2 linked regions of the Lonchura striata genome follow. The protein of the gene in region 1 interacts with the protein of each later gene in a pairwise test. Links are inferred from orthologs where the notes say so. Each region holds a gene or a part of one and is shown on either strand. Other genes may lie near its edges.

Region 1 (7,273 bases):
TGTCGAGTGTTCAGCTGCCAGAAGCACCTGAAAAACCAGCACACCACTGAAAAACCAGCGAACAGCTCGCATCAGGAGGACCACAGGGGTAAGACATTTTTTCCCAGCTTCAAGAGCTGCTACAGGAAATTATCTGTGGGTACTACATCACTTTTTCAATGCAACTATTTTATCAAGACTTTTAGGTTATTCAGTGCAGTTTTGACTTCTTAACTTGTAAGAAATACAGGTGGAGATTTGAGGACACTGCAGTTACATTATAGGTCAGGTATGTGCACTGCCATTTTCCAAAATTAAATTGAAGGTAGCCCCTAACAACTTACTTTACATTTAATCCACTCACAAAAAGGGTTGAGCACTGTCTTTTGACACTCTCAATATTAAAACCACAAAGAAATTTAAATTAAAAAGATTTGGGCAATCTGCTTCACCAGACCAGTATATATATACACAACTGTATTCAACAATATTTAGAATAACCCATTAGAGAGTATAAGAAAAATTAGTTTACAAGTTTTACACAACCTATCATTCATTGAAATGTCAAAGTTAAAAGACCTTTGAATGCTTGAATTTTTACGAGAAATCCACATTCTGCCATGGTGTTTCCTGACTCTGCTATTCCCTTTTAGGTCTTCTCTGTAGCACTTGGATCTCTTTTTAAACCAAATCGTTTTTGTTTTTTTTTTGGTACTGGAAAGCTACCAATATTTTGGAAGAAAGTGAATGATTCAGAAATCAGAAAACTTCACAAGTTTGCAGATTACTCTGCAGAACTTCAGAAACAGAAATTGCCACAAGAAATAGTTTTTTCTGTACCAGATAACTGAAAGGACTATATAAGGATACCAAGGATACCAAGGAATTCTGCATCAGCAATTACTGAACTACATTGACTGATCAAATGACACTTCAAAGCCACTGTTTATGGGTCAGTTTCACTGCTGACACCTAAAAACACATATAACTTACACTCTTCTATCATCTGGCAGGCCTACATAAATATGTTCATCCATCTACTTCTTACAAGTAGAGTCATCTACCTACAATACCACAGAGCTGGCAGCCTCAATACCCAGATAATAATTTACACAAATCTATTATGCATTCTTACTATAATTAAGATCTGTCACCTATAGGTTTTACTGATTGTCCTGCTATTAATTTATGAAGGAGGGTGCAAAGGAGCACCAGATTTAGGCTATTTATAAATCTGTTGTAAAATAATTATAAATATTAGTACAAAACAATGCTATGTGTGAAGTTGGAAGGGACTTAAGGACATCAACCTGCTGCTCAATGACACTCTCCTAAAGCAAACTGCCCAGGACTGTGTCTGGATAGCTTCTAAAAATATCCAAGCATGGAGACTCCACAACCCCTCTGAGCATCCTGCTCCAATGCTCCATCACCCTCGGAGTAGAAAGTGTTCCTTTATGTTCAGATGGAACAGATTGTTCCATGCCCATGTGTGATCCTGCAGCTATCAACTACAGAGACACACACTCAAAATTTTTGAGAGTAATGAATGTCTTACCCAGACAACAGGCTCATCTCCATGTCCAGATTTCTGCTTCCAGAGTGGAATCTGAAAGTTATAAATGAACCTGAAGTGAATAAAATCTTTCAGATTAATACAGATTCCTTTCAGGCAAACTGGCTAGTTCTTTGCTAAGCTATCAATTTCTTCAGCTTACATTTGTATTGCAGTAAGAAATTTTTTCTAGTTTCTCTCTCAGGAGCATGAAGTTGGAGATACTATTCTGGACCACATTAAAAAGAAGTGTGATGGAATCACCATCCCTGGAAACATCCAAAAGACTTGAGGATATAGTTTAGTGATGAACACAGCAGTGCTAGATTAACAGTTGGACTTGATGGTCTTAGCCAACCTTATGGTTATTAATGGTTCTATGATTTTATAAAGATAACTATTCTCCTATATTGACAGATTACAAACAGAATTACTCCCACAGCTCACAGGGTCACCATGCCTCATTCTACTGCCCTGAATGCAGTGCATAATTAAAAGATCTCAGGCGGTGTGGTTGGCACACCTCCGAGGCAAAGTGAGCTACAAAACAGGTTTGGGGTGTATCTCACCTACAGGCTGGGCTAAAGGCTCACTTCCCAACACTGGGCTGGGACCATTCTCACCTGCACCGGGCTGCGGTCGGAAGGCCCGGGCTTTTCCCTAGCTGGCTCTGATCGCATCCCCTTGACTCACCATCCTCTTATCATTGGATATGAAAACAGCATAAAATTCTTCTAAAGGGTACCGATCCTGACTCCTGATGTAGTCACAAAGCTTCCAAACGTTTTCTTCGCTGCAAAACACAATAACCGGTCGTTGATTTTGTTTTCCTCCAACTGCATTTTTCGTGCCGAGAAACGAGCCCTGAGCGTGCTCAGCCCAGAGCCGCGCCGCTCCCGCCGGCGGCCCGGGCTGTCCCGGCGCCCCGGGCTGTCCCGGCGGCCCGGGCTGTCCCGGCGCCCCGGGCTGTCCCGGCGGCCCGGGCTGTCCCGGCGCCCCGGGCTGTCCCGGCGGCCCGGGCTGTCCCGGCGCCCCGGGCTGTCCCGGCGGCCCGGGCTGTCCCGGCGCCCCGGGCTGTCCCGGCGGCCCGGGCTGTGCCGGCGCCCCGGGCTGACCCGGCGCCCCGGGCTGTCCCGGCGGCCCGGGCTGTCCCGCGCCCCGGGCTGACCCGGCGCCCCGGGCTGTCCCGGCGGCCCGGGCTGTGCCGGCGCCCCGGGCTGACCCGGCGCCCCGGGCTGACCCGGCGCCCCGGGCTGTCCCGGCGGCCCGGGCTGTGCCGGCGCCCCGGGCTGACCCGGCGCCCCGGGCTGTCCCGCGCCCCGCGGCCGTGCGAGGGGCACCGGCTCAGCCGCCCCCGCCTCCCTTACCAGTAGCAGCTGCTGTAGGTGCAGGCGGGGCGGGGCGGCACCGCCGCCTCATAACCAGCCTCGGGCCGCGCCATGGCTGCTCTGAGCGGGGCTGAGGGCGAAGCAGGAAGCGCTGGGCCCGGTGGAGGCAGCCGCTACGCCATTCCCGAGAAAACCGCAGCCATCCCGGCTGGGCGCGGGCACTTCGCAGGTACAGCCGGAGGGGCGGCCGGCGGCGCAGGGACCCTCGGGCGGGGCGGAGCGGAGTGGGACGAGCCGGGCCAGCCCCGCCCCGCGCCGCAGCGCTCCGAGTTTTGGGCGCCAAACGCGCGGCCGCAGTGCGCCGCGTGCCCTTCCGCCGCGCGGGCGGGAGCGGCGCCGCAGGCGGAGCGGGCGGGAGGGAGCGCGGCGGAGGGATCCGGGCGGCGCGCGCGGCGGCGGGCGCGGGGCGCGTCCCGTTCCCCCCGCCATGGTGGTGCTGCGGAGCAGCGCTGCCTGCCCGCCCCGCATGGCTGCCCGCGACAGCCGCTGTCGCCGGCCCCCCTTCGACCTCCTGGAGTCCAGCTCCGAGTTCATTTCGCTGGAGCCCCCGGCGCTCAGAAGCCACCGCGTATGGACGCGCTCCGGGTCCGCCAGGGCCGCGGTGTCCAGGGGCGCCCGGAGGGCCGAGGAGGCCGTGAGTGCGGGGGGGGTGGGGTGAGCGCGGCCTGGCGGGCGGCGCTGCGCTGGGCCCGGCCGGGCGGAGGGGAGGAGCGGAGAAAGCGCTGCGGAGTGGTGTTCCCTGGAGGAGAAAGGGGAGAACCGAGTGTTTGGGGCAGGCGGCTGCGGCTGGGGGTGCGTGAAGAAGCAGCCGGCCCGCCCGCCGTTCCCGGCCGCCCCGCGGCTAAAAGGGGCTCGGCACTAGCCCTGGTGCGGGGGCTGTGGCAGCGTGCTGAGAGCCGGTCTTTGGCAATACTAACCTGCATCGCCTCTGGTTTGGTGTGTTGTATGCCATTCCCCATCCCCGTTTATTTTGGTGCAATTCCTATCTGAAAAAGTTACCTTGAGAAGATCTTAGAAAGCTCTTTGCATCGGTTGCGGTAATGCTTTTAGAGCGCTCTCTGTTTAGATGACAGAAATGCATCAAAGCCAGCGCGACACGAAATACATGGGACCTCTGAGTGCGTTCCGCTTGGCCCGAAGGGCCTGCTAAATACTCCTTAGTCAATTGTATCCAAATAGTGCTTTGTATGCTCTAAAAAAGAAAATGTTTAGAAATCGGGGCTCATCTGTACTTAATTAAAGCGCATAACCTAAACCAGTGAAAATGTTACTTGAGCTTTCTTGATTATCTTATTGATAATCTTTCTTGATAATCTTGATCTGCCCTACTAGAAGATGGTAAAGGATAGATATCAAGTGGCCTGTGCATCTCAGCATTGCAACTGTAATAACTGAATCATTTCACTTTCCATTGTTTTTAATATAGCTTTCAAAAAACTAAAACTTTGCTATTTCCAAGTCAGGCTCTACTCTGCAGGCTGTCCTGCATTTCTGTGACAAATAAAGGCAGACCTGATCCAACTCAGAAGTGGTCTGCTCTTCAGGGGAGCCCTACTTTGGAGTGATGCTTCTCAAAGACTCTGTTTCCTTCCAGCAGAAGTCTTTCATGAGTCTCAGTTGTATGAATTAATTTTATATTTTTACATTTTGTGCCATTTTATTCAAGACTACTGAACTAAAAAGGAAAAAAGTCCTTGCAGTGGTGGGTTTTTTTACCCCCCCCCCCCCTTACAAAGAGTCATGGGATCTTCTTAAAGATCACAGCTTTGTTTTTGCAGTCTCCACTAGAAATGTTTGTCAGGAGCTCGTTCAGCCTTTGCACAGGAGGGAAGGCTGTGCAGCATTAGGCAGATAACACTGCTGGCATGTCATCAAGACAGGAATGAGGAAATTAAAGTTATGCCTGAAACCAAAGCAGAATCATAGTTATGAAACTGGTTGCAAGGTTGTTTTTTGGGTTTTTTCCTTCCTTTTTGTCAACCTTTCCTGTGCTTTGAAGTGAAGTCATCACCCCATTTATAGGATGCTGGGCTCTGTTGTGGGTCTGTGTATAAATAATGTAGAAGTGCTCCAAGAGAGATCATGAGAACTGGTGCTAGCTTCATGTTCAAGTCCTGATGCCTCTTTCGTGTCTTGATGTGCAAGGACATGGTAGTGGCAGCTTTTGGGGTTCTTTTCTGATATCAGCATATTGTCTATGTTTAGTTATACAGCTCATTTCATCCCTGGGCAGTAAGAAGCATACAACAGGAGATCTAAGGTTATCAAACATCTGCTGGTTTTATTCTCTTCCAGGCTTCCAGTCCCAGAAAGTTTCATGAGTGAGTCTCCCAGTGACATCCAAAGTGGCTACTACCCCTTTGGAAGCCCTGTTTCTCCAGGTCTATAACCCTACTTGGAGGTTTATAATTCCCAAAGCTGAACAAGTTTGTTCTTGTGAACTATATTTGAGTTCCCTTTTTGTCTGGGCATTCTTACCTGTATCAGAAACAATGTGATCAGCAGGACCAGGACAGTGATTCCTGTACTCAGCAATGGTGAGGCCACACCTTGAATCCGGTGTCTAGTTCTGACCTCTCAAGACAAGAAAGACATTGAGGTGTTAGAATGTATCCTGAGAAAGACAAGAGCTGAGAAAGGTCTAGAAAGTAATGAGGAGCAGATGAGAGGTGGGGGTATTTAACCTGGAGGCATGGAGACTCAGGGAAGACCTTATCACCCTCTACAACTACCTGAAAGGAGGTTGTGGGTGATCAATCTCTTCTCTCAGGTAACCTGTGGCAGACCAAGAGGACATAGCCTCTGGCTGCACCAGGAAAGGTTCCGGTTGGACATAAGGAAGAAATTTAACACAAAAAGGGTGGTTGAGTCTTGGAACAGGCTGCGGAGGGAAAGGCATCACCACCCCTGGAAGTGTTCAAGGAGTAACTGGATGTGGCACTGTGTGCTGTGGGATCCCCTTGGGGCCTGTAGAAGTGTGGGTGTCCAAGTGGTGTAGCAGGTCACTGACTGTTTCCTCCTGGATTGTGGCAGCTTCCTTCTGCTCTCTGTCCCTGTCTGGGTATCATGAGGACTGCTGGTCTTACTGTTGAAGACTGAGGCAAAGTACTTCTGCCTTTTCCTTATCCATTCATCCATTGCCATATGCCATTGCCTGTGCATCAAGTGAAGGATGGAGATTCTCTTTAGTCTTCCTTTTCTTGCTGATTTATTTGTACAAATGTTTTGTGTTGTCTTTTACAGCAGTAGTTAGATTAAATTGTGTTTGGGCTGTGGCCCTTGTAATTTTCTCCCTGCATAACCTTTCAACATCTTTGTGGTCCTTCTTCACTCATCATCTCCATCAGTCAGTGGAATTATCTCTTGGTAATATTAGTGTGAAGAAGTAGAATAGTCCAGTCTGTTTTCTGCCCTTTTTAGTGTGAGATTTAGTTTGGCATACTCACAATGAGACCTTGGGTTGTAAATGGAACAAGCTGCTTCCCATGGTCATCGCAGCTTTCCTCACATAGTAAAAGTCGATAGCATCCTCCTTGCAGAAACATCAATGTGAACAAGATGAACATCCATGAAGAACTATATGCTGAGTTCCCTTTGGTTTTCTGTGGATAAATGCTACCCTCTGCAAGGAAGTATTTTTATATCCCTCTGAATGCCATTATAAATGGAACAGAGACAGGAGGAAAACTCTTCCAAAAAGATCTTAATCCCAGTACTAGGAATTTTTTTTGTTGGATTAAAGCTATAGAAATCTAGCAGAAATGAACCCCCTTAGGTTCCAGCTGCTCCTCAGAGATCAGAAGAGCTGGGGGCAGCTGGGCCTAAGCTGTGATTATAGCCCATTGGACACTGGCTGCCTGGCCGAGTTCAGTAGGCACTTGCAGGATCCAGATTTGCAAATAGGGCAGGTAATTGAAGTGACAGGAAAGCAGATTCTGAATTGCTGGTGGTAAATGCACCAGCTACAGAGTGTTAAAATATGCTGTTACAGAAGGAATAGTTACAGAGATCTATTAGCAGTAGATATAAGTGAATATTCCCAGGTCTGTTCCAAGACAGTTGGGAAGCACAAAGCTCACCTGAAAGTGTCCCTTCAGGGATAAGGAGTGACACAGTCCATCAGCTGATCCAAAGCAAGCAGAGGGACTTTCCTCTCTCTCTTTTGCTTATTTGGTTGGTTGTTGTTGTTTTGGGGTTTTTTTGCCCCAAACCCCTCCTTTTGTAGTGTAATTTTTGGCCCTTCCCAAGGGGTGGAACAACTGCATGTTATAGGTGAGATTTTGGTTACTGGGATCACTGAACCAATTTTGAAATCAAAGATTTTGGGTCTTTTCTTGGAAATGTGGTGTGG
Region 2 (7,186 bases), on another chromosome or scaffold:
CTGAAGTTCCCCACAGTCTGCAGGCCCCTGCACAGCTCCTGCGGCACTGAGGGCCTTCCCTGCTGCCTGCAGCAGGCAGTGTAGCAATGCGAGTAATAGCGATGTATTACCCACAGTGTAGCAATTTGGGTAATTTCCCCTCGGCGAGCAAAAGCACTCCTTCCTTGCTCGTTTGGCCACACACAGGTGAGCACATCTTCACAGGAAAGCTGCCCTGAAGCAGCAGGCACAGGGCTGGTCCAAGAACTGCAGCAATTGCAGACACAACCCAAAAACCAACTTCAGATCAACAAGCAGCCCTGAATACACCTACAGCCTTACCTAAGGCAAGGTAAAAATCACTGGAGTGGTGTCAGGAACCAGCCCCAGGCACCACCACCATAGCTTGAAATACTGTGTCTAAGAAACACAGGCAAACCCAAAACATTTCTTTTGTTTACTTTAGGATCAGAGTGAAACAGATACGTTAGCAATTGCCCAACTCCATCCCCAACCTGCCAAAGCCTACGCCACACATAGCTTACTTCTAAATCTTTATTTGTTTTCTACACAGAGAAAACAGAGGAATGTTGAAGCAGCAATATTTAAACACACTAGCAAGGAGACATCAATCTGTGAGAGTGCACAAAGTGCAACATGGGGCCATTTGTGCTGCGGTCTCTGCTACAGGGCAGGGTGAGGGGAGCTCCAGGAACAGCCTCTTCAGACAGAAGGGAAAGCTCTATGCAAAGGTGGAGCCGTTCCAGCCCACGTTGGCAGCATTCATGTCGAAGTAGTTGATGTAGACCCTGCAGATGAGGTACAGGAAGAAATACAATGACCTTATTAACTCATTTATATAAGCTGGGATAACATAACAGGGGAGAGTGCTTCCCATTCTTCTGCTTGAAAAAGCATCAAGCTTCATCTTTACAAAAAAAACTGGTGGAGCCTCCAAACAGCTTCAGTATTTCTCAGTCCTCAAAACTGTACTTTTTCCTCTTTTTTTAAAATACAATTATTATGCAGTCAGGGACTGTCCAGACACCAGACAGATTTTGTTTTGCAGCCTGTCAAGAATTTCCGGAGATCAGCCCCTTTTGTTTCTGAGCCCTGCAGGCCCTCACATGTGTCACACAGACTGGCAGCCTTGGGAGTTAAGCATGCCCTCAGGCCTGGCTCTGCTGTCTCCCTTCAACCCTGATGGCACCAGGTTCTTCCCATCCTTCACAGCTGCACAGGCACCGCTGAACTCCGCAGCCTGCAGGGGAGCTGCTCTCAGCCTGCTGCCTTCTGCTTCTGTCTCAGCTCCAGCCTGTTACTGCTCCTCGCTCCTGCTTTCAGCCTTGCTTCCCCAGAGGGCAAGACATCACACCTCAGAGGCAAAAGACACACTGGGCAGCTTGTCAGTGCTGTGGTGTTTTTCCCTACTCTCAGAAGCAGGAAGCCACTGAACAGGGGACTCTCCAGGGAAAGAGACAGGCACTGAATTCTTATGTGGACGTGAAAGTGCTGCAAGTAATCACTTGGAATTTTCCAAAACACATGGATTTATTCCTGGCATTTTAAATTTTTAAACAGACTTCTCAAAGCGGTTTCAGAAAGCCAGGTAAATATGGTTAAACCATGTCCCAGCCTTACCTGTCTGCAGATACATGCAAGTGCTTCGAGATCAGATCACACAGCATCTTGGTGTAAGTCTTGTTCTGCTGCCCTCCTATTTTGCCGATGCTGTAGAGGCTGCAGAGCGCGCAGGGATCAGTGGAGCCACCAAAGGACATCATCTGGTCAGGTATGATGTGCACAGCTATGTACTGCGGGAGGGAAGCACTCTGTTACAGGCTGTCTGAAATGCCCTCTCCTGACGGAAATCTGCTTTAGGTACCAACTCTTCACAGAGCAGTTGTACTGGGGTCAGGCAGCTCTTCAGTGCTGCCCCCTGCGCCCCTCCCAGCCCCAGGGGAGGCTCAGGCCCGGCAGCCCCCATGGGGGGCACGGCCCTGGGGGCTGCGGGGACCCTCGGCCCGGCTCTGAGCTTTAGGAACGCGGCTGTGTGTGCACAAAGCCGCCGGCGCGGCAGGCGCTGCTGCCCGCCGCAGCCTCGCCACCGCGCGGGGCGGAGCGAGATAAAGGCCCCAGAACTGCCTGCGGGCCAGGGCTCACATCCCAAATCAAACCCGCCGGAGAGCCGGGCAGCGATTCCGTCACATCGGGCTCCTGGCGCTGCCGCGGTCTGGCCCGGGAGGGGCCGTGTCCCACGGCTGAGCCGGCGGGAGCTGCTCGGAGCGCTCGGTCTGCCCGAGCCTCTGCCCGGGTGCGTCCGCGCCACTGCGCAGCTCCGCCGCTCGAATCGCGACCGCCAGCACAGGCGCAGCACATCCCCGGCTACGTGAGCGCCGCGCCCCCGCCGGCCCGGTGCCGCTCCCGCCAGGGGCCGGGCATCGGCACACGCGGCGCCGCGGCGTGGAACGGGCACCAGCTCCTTCCCCCGGAGCAGCGGGGCCGCCGCCGCGCTGTGCGGCCGCCGCGGCCCGCCCGCCCCGGGCCCGCGGGAGCGGAGACGGCCGCGGGCCGCTCCGCGCCGCCTCTCCGCCGGGCCCGCCGCGCACGTGTCGCCCCGCTCCCCGCCCTCACCTGCGCGGGCTTGCCGGTGGCCTTGGCCAGCTGCTGGGTGAGGTCGCCCAACAGGCTGTCGGGCACGGCGTCCTTGCAGACGTTGGTGTGGATGGCGAACATGGGCATGGTGGCGGCGGTGGGGGTGGCGGGGCCGGCGATGCAAACCTAAGCGAGCGGCGGGACCGACACAGTGGAGCGGGGAGGCGTCAGCGGCGCTTTTAGTGCGCCAAGCCGCCCCGGACGTAAAGCGGCCCCGCCCGGCAGGCAGGGGAGGGAGCGGGGCGGGGACACACGCTCGCACCGGCTCCGCGGTCCCCGCAGTGCCGTGCTGACTTTTCCCGCGGCTGTCTCTCGACCGGAGGTTCCCCCCGCTCCGCCGTTATTCCTTGGCTTTGTTTCTATTACTGAACATTTTTTGAGGGTTTGTTGCAGGCTCCTTCCTGGAACGGAGTCCGGGAGCGCTGGGCAGCTCATACATAACGTGGTATGAACGCTGCGATAGTAGCTCTGGGGCACTCCCACTGATTTCTGCGGGATTCGGCCCAGAGAGGGATATAGGCCTTGGCTTGGCGGTTGCAAAAAGGGATGCTTGCCCTGACTCGGAAAATTTTTTCCTTTTCAAAATAAAGTAACACTTGTAGTGGTTTTGCTTGATGGTGTGTACAGCTTTAGCTCGGTGTAAGCAGAAACGTGTCCCTTGCTGCCTATTAATTATTATCTAATGTATTTCAGTCGAATTAAAAGTTACCTATTGCTCCTCAGCCTCCCACTTTGCGCATCATATTTTTCTACTGGAAAAAGGCAGAAGTGAGTTTCGTTTTGCTTCGGAATGAATTGGTGCGTGCCTTTTGGGAGGTGAGAGGCAGCAGAGCCGAGCCGCATGCTGCGCTGTGTGATGTGGTGCACGTAGGCTGCCAGGGCATGGCTCCCCACCCTGGCTCTTGCCTGCCCCGACGGCGGCAGCGCTGCTCTGCTCACGAAATGACTCACAGGAAGGCTAAATAGGATCTGGCCCGGAGCCCTCTCTGCCCAGACATTGCACACACAGCAGTCGTGCTGCTAGAGAGCTTGCCCATGTTACAGACATGAACACATCCATGTTACAGACGTGAACACTCGTAGCCCTGAATGAGGAGTCAGGGATGGTGTCATACAGGAGTGCATTGGAGTGACACGGGTTATAATGCTGAGGACTGGAGCACTTCCTTTTCTAGTGATTAACAGTGCTTAAGAACAGCCACTAAGAACTGATTAAGTTTCCCCTCTTTGATATCCTCAGCTCCCTGCTGTTGCATAGTCCTACTTATTCCTCTCACCTTCCTGCCTCCCAGGTTTGTTGCATGGAGGTGGTGTTTTCTACCTGTGCAGGGAGAAAAGCTTGAGAGCAACTTCACAACTGGTGTGCTTGGCCTGTGGCCTGCCAGCCCAGAGTGGCAGCCCCTGGCTATGCTGCCACTCGATGGAGAGACATCTGCAATTTAATTCTCTTTTGCCTCCCTGACTAAGAAAGACATTTTCACCAAAGCAGCTTGTTATCCCAACAAAGCATTTTTATTGATTGAGGTTCAGGTCTGTATTTAAAGTCTGTGGCTGCAAAGCAAAGCTGTGGTAGGGACACAATGGGATGTTAACAATAGAGTTCAGAAAACGGGTGTTAGAAGGTTTGCTCTTCCAGAAAAAACTCACAATACACTTAACTATAGAATTTCAGGAAACATCTCTACTCAATCTTTTATTTTACTTTGGAAGCAAATGTTCTTATCTGACCAAGGGCTTAAATAATAAATATTTGGATGCAAATTTTCCTTTCATAATTAATTCACCACTTCAGTCCCTGGGAATTACTGTGGCTTGCTGTGCCTCTGCCTCATTCTGAGCTGTGCTCTAATCTTCACTGTCACTACAAATTGTTCAATGGATGAAAAGGGGAGGGCACAGCAGTGAACAGTGGTTTTTTCCACTCACTCTCTCTGCCTGTGCTGAGGCCTGGGAGACACAGCACAAGTTTTCCTGCTACTCAGCTAGATATCCCTGTAGTGTTAGGCCTAAAGAAGACCTGGACTGCAATCAATTCCTTTTAAATAAGAGATAACAATGTTATCTCTCCTTTTGAAGGGAGGTCCGTGTGCAACATTTGCACATCTATTAACTTAAATATATCTTGAAACCAGGTCAAGATATATTTATCTCTTCTTGAGATGTATCTCTTGAGCATGGACAGGACAAAGGCAAAAGGAATATTCATATATGACTGAAGTTTTTTGAAAGAAAAGCTTCTCTTAAGAGAGTATTTTGAGAAGACACCCTTCATCTCAACTACAGTTCTTCCCAGCATAACAAGAAGGTTTCAGACATAAGATTTTTGATGCATTTTTATTTAAGCAGCAGGCAAGATATTAAACAGCAGTGAGTAGCAGCATTTGGCAGATGCCAGAAGGTGACTGGAACTGCAGTTCTCAAACCATGATGAGTGTTCAGGGATAAGCTGTGATCACCTAAGGGCACCTCAAGCAAAGGTGGTGTTATTCCAGCCCACATTGCCAGGACTGATGTCAAAGAAGCTGATGTAGGTTCTGGAAGGGAAGACAGGCACCATTATCAGCTGAGAGCAGAGTGCTGCAGGCTGGTCAGGGTGCTCCTGCACCAGGACACATGGCCATGCTGCAGATCTCCCCATGGGCTTTATCCTTCCAAGGTCTTACACTCCTTTCCTGTTGGGAAGGACGGATAAATATAATTATTCACAATAGTACAGCCAGGATGAAAACAATCCTCCCTACTGGCTGGACAATACCCTTACCTACAGATAAGTCCAAAAGTCAAATGGACTGTTCCATCTCAACCCCCAAAATGTACTGTTCATCCCACACCTGTAACCCTCCCCTGAAACATCAGGTGTCTGTGACCCCATTGGCCCAAGTCTTGTTCCAGCCCACCTTGAAGCCCCCTGAGAAGGGGCTCCGAGGGGCCAGACACCCTCTGGGAACTTTCTTCCCCCCTCTTGGAACTTCCCCCCTCTTGGAACTTCCACCCTCTCCTAGAACATCCTCTCTACCCCTTGTTTCTCCCCTCTCCGATCCCCTCAGGCCTCAGCTGCGTCTGGCAGTTCCAAGCAAGACCTTTCACCATCCCTAATACACCTGATATCCCAAGAGCAGCCTGCAGAGATCTCTGTCTCCATCCAAGCTGTCCTGGAGCCCAGCATTCCCTACACTTTCCTCCTGCCCCTTTTAATGCCTCATCCACTTGCATCCTGGAGTTCCTAGTGATCACGTTCTTGTGTCTGTACCTGGTCTTTTGCACATGATGTCTGTGGGTACATACATGCCTGAACCTACATCATTTTAACCAAGGAATTCTGCAGCTTCTGGACAGTGGCATTGCAGCTCATGCAGTGGCTCATTTTTTCTTTTTAGCTGGGGAGTTGCTCAGTTGACTTGGCATTTAATCTCTTTAATCAGCACATTAATAGGGAACACCAAAGGACCAGCCTGGGATGAATAGTTTTAACAGTCTGTGGAAAGTCATGTCAGACAAATTGCTGTATGAGCTCACCTGTCAAATGGTATTTTCAGCTGTTTGCTCATCAGATCACAAAGCAGTTTGGACCAGACCTTGTTCTCCTGCTCCCCTCTCTTTCCAATGCTGTAGAGAAAGCACATAGCACAAGGGTCTGTGGAGCCACCGAAGGACATCACTTGATCAGGAGAGATCTGCTAAATACTGTTGGAAGAAGAAAATTAATATTATTTTCTTTGCTGTATTAAGAAAAGTTTTGAAAATCCAGGAAGGCATTTATGTACCTAAACTGCAGTGAAAATAAGTGCATGTTTTTGATATGCAAGGCTTAAATTTGTTAACATCTTACTGTCTAGATTTGCATTCTACTCCAAGATACTCACTCCTGTGTCAAAGGCCAGTACAAAGACTCCACAGATTTTAGGCTTCCTAGTCCAGGTGCTCCAGGAGCTCAGTGACCTGTAATATCTGCAGCACCTCCTCCGAGCCACCAGGCTCTCCCTGCCTGTGTGGGAAGGTCAGGGGCGAGGGGGTGTGCAATGGTCCTGCTGCCGCATTGCGTTCCAGAGAGATTTTGCACCTCACTGGCTCCTGCTGCAGTCTTCCCTGCTGAGGTAAATGTGAGCTGACACAGCAGAGGCCCAAATCAACATCCACCTCGTTAAACAAAATACAGCCTAATCCTGCTTTTGTTCTTGATATCAGGAAAACAGAAGAAAGTATCTATGTTAATATTAATGACCTGCCCACGATTTTCCCTGCTGCTAATACACAGTGTCAGATCCACACACTGGGGAATCTGGGGATCAGTTCCTCTGGCATTCATCTGGCTTCTGTGCTGTTCTTACCCACGTTTATTAGCAGCGCATCGTTGGAACTCAGCAGCAATTAACCCTCTTGGTAAAACAAGCTAGCCTGAGTACCAGGAGTTGTCTGGGTAATTAGTTTTGGCCATCATTTACAGTTTGTTTGGGTGTAAGGTGCATCGGACCACAGCAGTACAGGATAAGCCAAGGAGATCCTGCTGAGGCACCACTTGCTTGGCCCTGTTCTCCCCTGTCTGGACACCACG

Evidence for each region.
Region 2: the proteins of NTAQ1 (region 1) and MIF interact in binary tests that used the Homo sapiens proteins (3 or more experiments, as listed by UniProt). The two-hybrid records come from large-scale screens. The link is inferred for Lonchura striata from reciprocal best matches to the Homo sapiens genes NTAQ1 and MIF.

Annotation. Positions count from the first base shown.
Region 1 is NC_134603.1:12,563,057-12,570,329, forward strand, and holds the start of NTAQ1 (protein N-terminal glutamine amidohydrolase), read right to left. Parts: upstream 3,009-7,273; 5' UTR 2,976-3,008; coding exon 2,902-2,975; intron 2,328-2,901; coding exon 2,228-2,327; intron 1,589-2,227; coding exon 1,538-1,588; intron 1-1,537. Other genes in the region: ATAD2 (ATPase family AAA domain-containing protein 2), read left to right, coding at 3,350-3,556. UniProt on the Homo sapiens protein: Mediates the side-chain deamidation of N-terminal glutamine residues to glutamate, an important step in N-end rule pathway of protein degradation.
Region 2 is NC_134620.1:3,542,704-3,549,889, reverse strand, and holds MIF (macrophage migration inhibitory factor), read right to left. Parts: upstream 2,851-7,186; 5' UTR 2,722-2,850; coding exon 2,614-2,721; intron 1,794-2,613; coding exon 1,621-1,793; intron 789-1,620; coding exon 722-788; 3' UTR 521-721; downstream 1-520.